2 linked regions of the Nothobranchius furzeri genome follow. The protein of the gene in region 1 binds, or shares a complex with, the protein of each later gene. Links are inferred from orthologs where the notes say so. Each region holds a gene or a part of one and is shown on either strand. Other genes may lie near its edges.

The links. The genes of interacting proteins can lie anywhere in the genome.
Region 2: the proteins of rad1 (region 1) and hus1 are in contact, whole or in part, in a crystal structure (PDB 8GNN), measured with the Homo sapiens proteins. The link is inferred for Nothobranchius furzeri from reciprocal best matches to the Homo sapiens genes RAD1 and HUS1. Residues at the interface, in NP_002844.1 of Homo sapiens: Asn85, Val88, Asp91, Cys92, Ser94, Ile95, Phe96, Gly97, Ser98, Gly127, Val128, Val129, Thr130, Val131, Cys132, Lys133, Ile134, Asn135, Gln137; in NP_004498.1 of Homo sapiens: Thr165, Ser168, Val169, Lys172, Met173, Asn175, Ile176, Glu197, Leu198, Val199, Cys200, Val201, Thr202, Thr203, His204, Phe205, Lys206.

Annotation. Positions count from the first base shown.
Region 1 is NC_091746.1:58,354,896-58,358,982, forward strand, and holds the start of rad1 (cell cycle checkpoint protein RAD1), read left to right. Parts: upstream 1-1,282; 5' UTR 1,283-1,372; intron 1,373-2,033; 5' UTR 2,034-2,040; coding exon 2,041-2,235; intron 2,236-2,354; coding exon 2,355-2,463; intron 2,464-2,545; coding exon 2,546-2,703; intron 2,704-2,843; coding exon 2,844-2,944; intron 2,945-3,106; coding exon 3,107-3,205; intron 3,206-4,068; coding exon 4,069-4,087. UniProt on the Homo sapiens protein: Component of the 9-1-1 cell-cycle checkpoint response complex that plays a major role in DNA repair. The 9-1-1 complex is recruited to DNA lesion upon damage by the RAD17-replication factor C (RFC) clamp loader complex.
Region 2 is NC_091747.1:63,761,736-63,765,855, reverse strand, and holds hus1 (checkpoint protein HUS1), read left to right. Parts: upstream 1-1,318; 5' UTR 1,319-1,427; coding exon 1,428-1,479; intron 1,480-1,733; coding exon 1,734-1,861; intron 1,862-2,346; coding exon 2,347-2,523; intron 2,524-2,709; coding exon 2,710-2,817; intron 2,818-2,890; coding exon 2,891-2,965; intron 2,966-3,261; coding exon 3,262-3,361; intron 3,362-3,451; coding exon 3,452-3,586; intron 3,587-3,765; coding exon 3,766-3,848; 3' UTR 3,849-4,081; downstream 4,082-4,120. UniProt on the Homo sapiens protein: Component of the 9-1-1 cell-cycle checkpoint response complex that plays a major role in DNA repair. The 9-1-1 complex is recruited to DNA lesion upon damage by the RAD17-replication factor C (RFC) clamp loader complex.

The sequences.
Region 1 (4,087 bases):
AAGACCAAAGGTGACAGATCATTTGCTGCTGTGGCCCCCAGACTCTGGAACTCTCTCTCCCTGAGCCTGAGATCAGTGGACTAAGTGGTCTCATTTAAGCAGCAGCTGAAAACGCATTTGTTCAGGCTGCTTTGGCGTGACCTTGGGCTGATTCTTCATCACTACCTTCTCCTCAGTCAACTTTTTCTACCAATTCTGCCTTTCCTGGGATCCACTGATTACCTCTTTCTTATTCATTTTCTTTTTCCTCATAGTTTTGAAATCACATTTTTTTGTCCACATTTCTATATTTTTAAATCTTTTTATTTTTTTTCTTGTGAAACGCATCAAGATTTTTATCTTGAGAGGTGCTATATAAAACTATTCCTTCATTTTCTTCTGACCTGTAGACTTCAAATGTCGTGTATCTGCCCATAACCACTTTGCTGACCACAATCCTACACATTGCGATCCCAAACAGCTGTGTTAAGTTCTAGATAGCTGTGTACATTGACTTTCATTCATCGTTTTGACCGACTATAATATCATGTCACCACTGAAACTCACCTGGTGCTTTTTCTAAATGTACCAACTCATTTAATCTGGGTGCTTCATTTGTACTTATTTATTTTGTTTTTTACATTGTTCAAATATCTTTTAGTTCACTTTGTGAAATGTTATAGTTCCAAATGGGTAGGTATAGGGCTCAGATAAAGGATCACCAAAACTCCCAAGATGCAAACTTTATCAACAAATCTGCAGAACATACCTGAAATTAAACCAACTGAGACTGAAATACTGGGAAACTTTCAATTCAATGTGGCTAAAATAAACAAATACTAATAAAAATAAACCTCTATGCAGTTTTAGGTTTGTTACATGTATGTTTGTAACAGTAAGAGCAGAATGCAAAGTCACATGTAAGTTTCTGACATGCGCACAATCTTTAACCACCAGACAATCATTTTCTAAAACCAGACCAAAATAATCAGTTATACCTATTCAACTAAACAACTAATTTAGGGTTAAGTCAGTGTTTTCCATTACACACATACAGCCCTGAGACTGATTAGCCACCACTAACTTCCGGTTAACGTTTGCTAACCGGCAAACATAAGAAACCTAAATATTACACGGCAATATCACTATGACAAATACATTTAATTTACAAAATATTACCTCAAGATACCAAGCGGACAAAACAACCGTGTTGTCACGTAATTTCTTAGCGAATGTTGCCTTTCCCGATTATTTCCTTACTCCGAAAGCTCTGGAACAAGACGTACCAACCAACATTAATGCCACTTCCGGGGAAGTAGATGACGTAGCGGAAGTTGTTCGAAGCTCGGCGCTTTTCTTCAAAGCGCCCCATCTGCTTTGGTATCTAATTTTTGTGAGTGACTTACATCTTTGGTAATAGTTTTAAATGTCATTTACGGAAAACTCTTAATAGTGAAAAACATCTACCGGAAGTCGCAGCGTCTCTTTTATTTACAGCTTCCGTGTTAATTTTGTTGTTGCTCGGCTAGCTACGTTCTATGTGCGTAGATGCTTTTGTAAAGCACCCAGGAATTAACACACTTGAAGTGAAACCTACATGTTACTTGTCTGCATTTTGATTCGCGATGTAAAAAACTGTTTATGTATTTACATGGAAAAGACCTGCCAGGAAACGCCAAAAGACAGTAGAGTGGCAGGAATTTGTTTTTCTTTCAGCTGTATTCCTTTACAAGACTCAGCTGAAAGAAAAACACTCAAAAACATAAGATGGGCAAATTATTATAAAGATACTACATTCAGAACAAAATACAGAGTCAAAGAAAATTAAAATATTATGACTTGTGTCCCTAAATGACCAGACATCACAGGAGACACAAAAACAATCTGGTGCAAAACACCTGCAAACTGTAACATTAGCTGTGTGTGTCCCCTGCTGTCCTGAAAGTAGCATGGCCTGGCCTGTTTTTGCTTGTTGACATGGCAAGTTCTGATAAATAAAATATAATTTTATGATAATATAACTGTTTTTTTGAACTCTTATCTTTTTATTTCAGTTCTGCAATGCCTCTGTCCACACAATCTCAAGGTGAAGATGAGCAATACATTTTAGTGACCAGTTTAGATAATGCCCGCAATCTCTCCAATTTACTGAAAGCGATCAGCTTTAAGGACCATGCTGTTTTCACCACAACACCCAACGGCCTGAAAGTCACCGTCGAGGACTGCAAATGTGTGCAGGCAAATGCTTTCATTCAGGTGTGTTTGGTGCTTTTTAAAAAGTTAGTATATTTTTAAAAGAAATCTTTACTTTTAGAATGAATCCCAAATAAATGACAGTTTGCTTGAAACCCTAAACAAAAGTTGTATCTCTTTAGGCAGACATTTTCCAAGAGTTCACCATAAAAGAAGATTTGATCACTTTCCAAGTTAACCTCACAGTTCTGCTCGACTGCCTGAACATCTTTGGGGGAAGCACTTCAGCAGGTCAAATCAGAAACTGAAACTCTATTCCAAACACCTGATGTACAGTTTTAAATGTTTATTTAACCATTTTATAAAATTGCAGGAATTTCAACAGCCTTGCGGATGTGTTACAAAGGGTACGGATACCCCCTGACATTATTCCTGGAGGAGGGTGGTGTAGTCACAGTCTGCAAGATTAACACTGAAGAACCAGAAGAACCGATCGATTTTGATTTTTGCAGCAGCAATGTCACGAACAAGGTTCAATCCTCTGTGAAATCTGTTGAAAAATAAGATAAAGAAAATAATATATTAGTCATTATGTAAAGAAATGTGCTATCCTTCATTAAATCACACCTGTAAAAACACTAAAGCATTTTTAATCTGGTGTAATTTTAAAGGTGATCCTGCAGTCGGAGAGTTTGAAGGAAGCCTTTTCTGAGCTGGATCTGACCAGTGAGATGCTGCAGATCACCATGTCCCCCAGCCAACCGTACTTCAGGTAGACTGTCCAAATTATACTCAGTATTTACTTCCTGGAGCAATCTTTTGCCAGCATTCCATCCACATCTTCCATCCTTGCCCCTACTAGACTCTTGAGTTTCATTTATCACAGATGCCTCTTTCTGTCTAATGGATGATCTGTTTTTGTCCAACTTTTCAGGCTGTCTACATTTGGGAGTTCTGGAAGTGCCCATTATGATTATTCTAAGGATTCAGATATGATGGAGCTGTTCCGGTGCAAGGAGACACAAACCAACAGGTGAGCGCAGTCAGGCTGTAAAAGTGCTTTTATTACATCAGTGGTGTCTCACGGTGCATGTGAGACACTATCCAGCATGTTTTAGTTGTTTCCAGCTCCAACACACTTAGTTGAATGACTAATCCTTCATTTACTCTGAGTGCAGAACGGGAGCTGTACGCATTCCTGTCAGGAAATTTACAGATCCACCCAGATCCTGATACGGAGTTATTTCCAGATGACACAGATTTTCATGAAGTTAAAGAAATTACATTAGCCAGACAGGAAGTGAGACGTTGGTGAACAAAGTGCATCTGGTATATTTTAAAATAAAATGTGTGTTGCATTGTTTTATGGCGTTTTTATTATTATCAACAGGAAAACCAGTACACAGTATAGAATAGCTCGTGTTAAATTTACAGGTATACATTTGAATGTATTGTGTCAGATTTCTTACGTGAGGTTTGGTGCTCTCGCTGGAGCAAATTTCCAGAGGTGTTCTGCTGTTGGTGTACTTGGTCCGTACAGCGGCTGTGTGGAAACCAGATTACATCCGTTCCACACCCGGTGTAAGTCACCCGATTAAAATCAGGTGTGGTAAGGCAGAAGCCTCTGAAGCATGCAGGATGGTGGCCGTCCAGCACCAGGATCAGACATCACTGTTTCACGTAAAAAAGAAAAAAAAAACTGTCACATCACTTTAGGAGGAAGTTCGTTTCCATGTTACTCAGCTCCTGATATTAGACCCTGTAGAGTTCCTGCTTCCTTATGGTGGCTGCAGCAGAGCCACGTTCATTGTCTTTCTTTGCTGCTTTCATGCATCTGTGTGTGACAACAAAAATCTGGTTACGTTTTCTTGCTCTATGTTCCTCCTCCTGTGGCAGATACAAGATGTCCTTGCTT
Region 2 (4,120 bases), on another chromosome or scaffold:
TCACAGAAAGTTCTTACATAAAACTTTATCTGACTTTGAGCTCCAGGCAGAAACTCTTCAGACTTTTATTTATGATCCCAGAGGTTTTAAAAAAATAAAATGCTTTAAACAGGGCTAGAGTTCATTTGAGTCTCGTCTGATTCTGGTTTAGTTTAATGAATCATAATAGATTTAGTAAATGAATGAAGAACCCAGTGGTTCTGGGAGGAACCCTGCCGCTGCTCCAGAGCTTTAAGGAGCTTAGGAAGGACCTAGACCTGTTTGGTTTCAGGGAAAGTTAAGCTTTTTATTTCTAAAGACCAAAAACAATCAAAACAACACAAGAACAAGGAAAATAGCAGACAGAAAAGGAAAGGTTAGAAAACACAAAACTAAATTTGATTTTATATATTCAGCTAATTTACTTCATCAAACAGCAAATAAAGAGAAGAAATCATGAAAGAAGAAGAAAATATCATTTCTATATTGCCTCTCAAGACAAAAATCACGAGGTGCTTCACAAAAACAAAAAATATAAAAAAGCATTCAGAAAATGTTTAAAAATATATTTAAAATGAGCAAAAAATAGACAAGAAGGGAGATCAGTGGATCCTGAGGAAGGTGGGGTAGGTGGGGAGAGCAGAACAGGAGAGGGTGATGAAGGACACACAAAGCCAGCCTGAACAAGTGAAATAGTGAAATAACTGATGAGCCTCCATACAGAATATCTGTTTATTGGTTTAATCAGTTCAGAGTTGCTGAGATATAAAAGGATTTTATGCTGAAATGAAAACAAATGAAACGGGTTTGTTTTGTCTGTAAATCAGGAGCATAAACAGGATCAGTCCTTTCATTTCGCTTTACTACCCATTCAGAACAAACCCCATTCAGAAAAATTATTTGAGATTTTAAAGTAAAAATAATGTATTATAACATTTATTTGCCTTTAAATTTGGATTTGACCTGCTATCAAATGAGGAAATAAAAAATTTTTGCTCTATTTTCTTCCTTTTTAGCAACTTTTAAAAACATTTTAAGACAAAACAAACTTTTTTTCTCATTTAACTAAAACATATTTAAATTAGCGCCCAAAACTCCTGACTCAGTCCAGAACCTCTGACCCAGGAGGTGGACCCACGGTGGACTGGGTCAGAACCTCTGACCCAGACCAGAACCTCTGACCCAGTCCTCATCTCTTTCTTCCCACCCTCCTGTTCCTGGTCTTTAATTCACTCGAACCTGATTTAAGGTAGAAATTGACTCCTAACTCAAGGGATGATCCAGAACCAACCATGTTTTTATCATTTTAAGTGTCGCCGATTTCTCTGTTAATAGGAACGTTTAACAGAGGAAAGCTGCTGTTTCCGTCGGACCTTTTTAAAGGCGGACACAACAAACTCCCTCCTTTCTCTTCTCTTTAAGTTTAGATTAAAGTTTTTAAAGTCAATATGAAGTTTCGGGGGAAAATCATCGACGTCGCCTGTTTAAACCACTTTAGTCGTGAGTTTTTATAAACGTTTGTCTGGCGGTGCTAACGTGTTAGTAGCTTATGTTAGCCTAACGTGTTAGCTTAACATGTTAGCTCGCTTTCTGTTTTGGTGTTGAGTTCGAATTAAATTATTTGTTATAAAAGCAGTGAATGAAAACCCGTTTATCTTTAAATAAAACATGTTCAGAGTCAGAGAAAACTTTACTATTTAGTCTGAGACGCATTACAGTCGGTCAGTAGTTTTAAAACGTGTTTGTGTCTCCAGGAGTGATCACCACCATCTCTAAGCTGACCAAGACGTGCGTCATGCGGCTGACGCCAGACAACCTGTTCTTTGTTCTGTCCGGTAAAGTGACCAACGGGGGGGTCAGCATGTGGTGTGAGCTGCATCAGGTGAGCTCAGGTGGCTCCTTTAGCCCGGGGGGGGGGGGGGGGGACCAGAACAACAAGACAGCTGTCGGTCTGACATCATGAATGCATCACAGGTGTTGGTAAAGCTGCGGCCCGCGGGCCTTTAGTGGTCCTCCACTTTAGTTCCAGAAGTGTGTTCTTAGTATTCCTCGTGTTTTATTAGCTTTTATTGATCGGTATTGTTATGGTCTGTTGTTGTTGTTGTTTGATTGGTCGTGTTTTAGTCCAGCCTGCGCGGCGCTTTGGGCGGCTCTCGTGTTGTGTTTTAAATGTGCTTTATAAATAAAGTTTCGTACGGTGAGAACATCAGAAAATGTTGAGCTTGACCCAAAGTCAATGGCGCTTTTCCTGGTAACTGAGAACACAAACGCATCACGAGTCAGAACCAGGGGCCTGATGGTACCAGAACATACTGGTATGAGGTCCAGGCCGTGACCGGGCTAATGCCAAGTGCTTCCTCCCTCCAGGCCAACTTCTTCGATGAGTTCCAGATGGAGGGCGTGTCCTCGGAGTTTAATGAGATCTGCTTGGAGGTGACGCCAGAAAACCTGTCCAGAGCCCTGAAGACGGTCCAGAACGCCAAGTCGGTCAAAGTCAAGCTGACCAAGAAGCACTGTCCCTGTCTGACTGTCGCCGCCGAGCTGGTGAGACAGGCCGAGGACCACGGACTCTGGTTCTGCTGCGCTGGCTCCATAAATGTTCTGATTCTCATATAAATCATCTCCAGAATGTTGAAGGTTCTGGTTTAGAGGTTCAGATGCAGCATACTGGTTCTGAGTTAGTCTAATCGGGCTCAGTTCATGACCCTGATCTCCCTCTGACCCGTCCAGCCCTCCCTGTCCAGCAACAGTCGGGTCGTTACCCACGACGTTCCGGTTGAAGTCGTTCCCCGGAGTCTCTGGCACGAGTTTAAAGAACCAAGCATGCCGGACTTCGACGTGAGCTTGATTTGAATCTTTGTTAAAGTTTTGGGTTCCTGAAGCGGGCCCGTCTCACTGCTTGTCTCTGCAGGTGAGCATCTACCTGCCGCCTCTGAAGACCATGAAGAACGTCGTCGACAGGATGAAGAACCTCTCCAACTTCCTGGTAGGATCAGTTCCCAGATGAGGAACTTTAACGGCCACCAGGTGGCGCTGTTGGGCCAGAACCCGTCAGTTCTGCAGCGATTTAAGAATATAATCTTTCATTCAGTTAACACTCAACAAAGGTGAAGATGTTTGAGTCAGCCAACAGAGAAACTGATCTGCAGCCTACGAGTAATTCTGTCAATGAGACTCGTTAGTTTAACTAGTTCCTGGTTAAAAATCCGAGTTAAACTTCCTGAAAGCCACATCAGGAGAGCTTAAGCTGCCGGTTTGATGCAGATTAACGTTTAACTCCAGGTGATGGAGGCCAATCTGAGCGGAGAGATGAACCTGAAGATCGAGACCGACCTGGTTTCTGTCACCACTCACTTCAAAGACCTGGGGAACCCTTCATGGGGTAAAACATCTGGACCCATCCGCCTACCGGTTCCTCAGATTAACCCCAACGTGGTGGAGGTCACCAGAATGACTCCTCATGTCTCCACAGGAGACGCCGCGTCGCAGGATGGCGGCGCGTCTCAGAGCAGGGACCCAGAGGCCATGGCGGAGGTCCGGGTGGACATCAGGAAGCTGCAGCAGTTCCTCGTGGGTCAGCAGGTCAACCCCAGCAAAGCCATGTGCAGTGAGTTGAGTCTTAAAGCAGTTAGAGCCAGAGGAGACCCCGCCCGGTGCTCCTTACAGGACTGATCAGATCCTAGCGAACCCAGCATGTGATCATGTCTAAAACCAGATTATTTCTGACTAGAAACTCAGATTACAGAAGCGTGTGATAATCTGAGTTCAGGTTTCTGGTCTCCTCAGACATCGTCCATCAGAGCGTGGTCCACCTGATCCTGCTGCACGATGACGTCTCTCTGCAGTATTTCATTCCTGCTGTGGCCTGAAGCTCCTGCAGGCTTCTGTGGAGTTTCAGTTGGGAGACAAAAACCGGCTGGAACCAGTTTCTCTGAGCTGGTCCTGTTGGTGACGTGAAGAGCCAATCAGCAGACAGGAATGGCTCTCCGTGGGTTTTCTGTGTTTAATAGTAATTCCGATTCCTGCCGAGATGACGGGAAAACTCACATTTACACGAGTTTGTTGGATCAACGTCTGATTAAATAAAACTTGTTTACAGTTTTGTGTTTTTATTACATTTATTTTTATTTTAGAGCTAAAT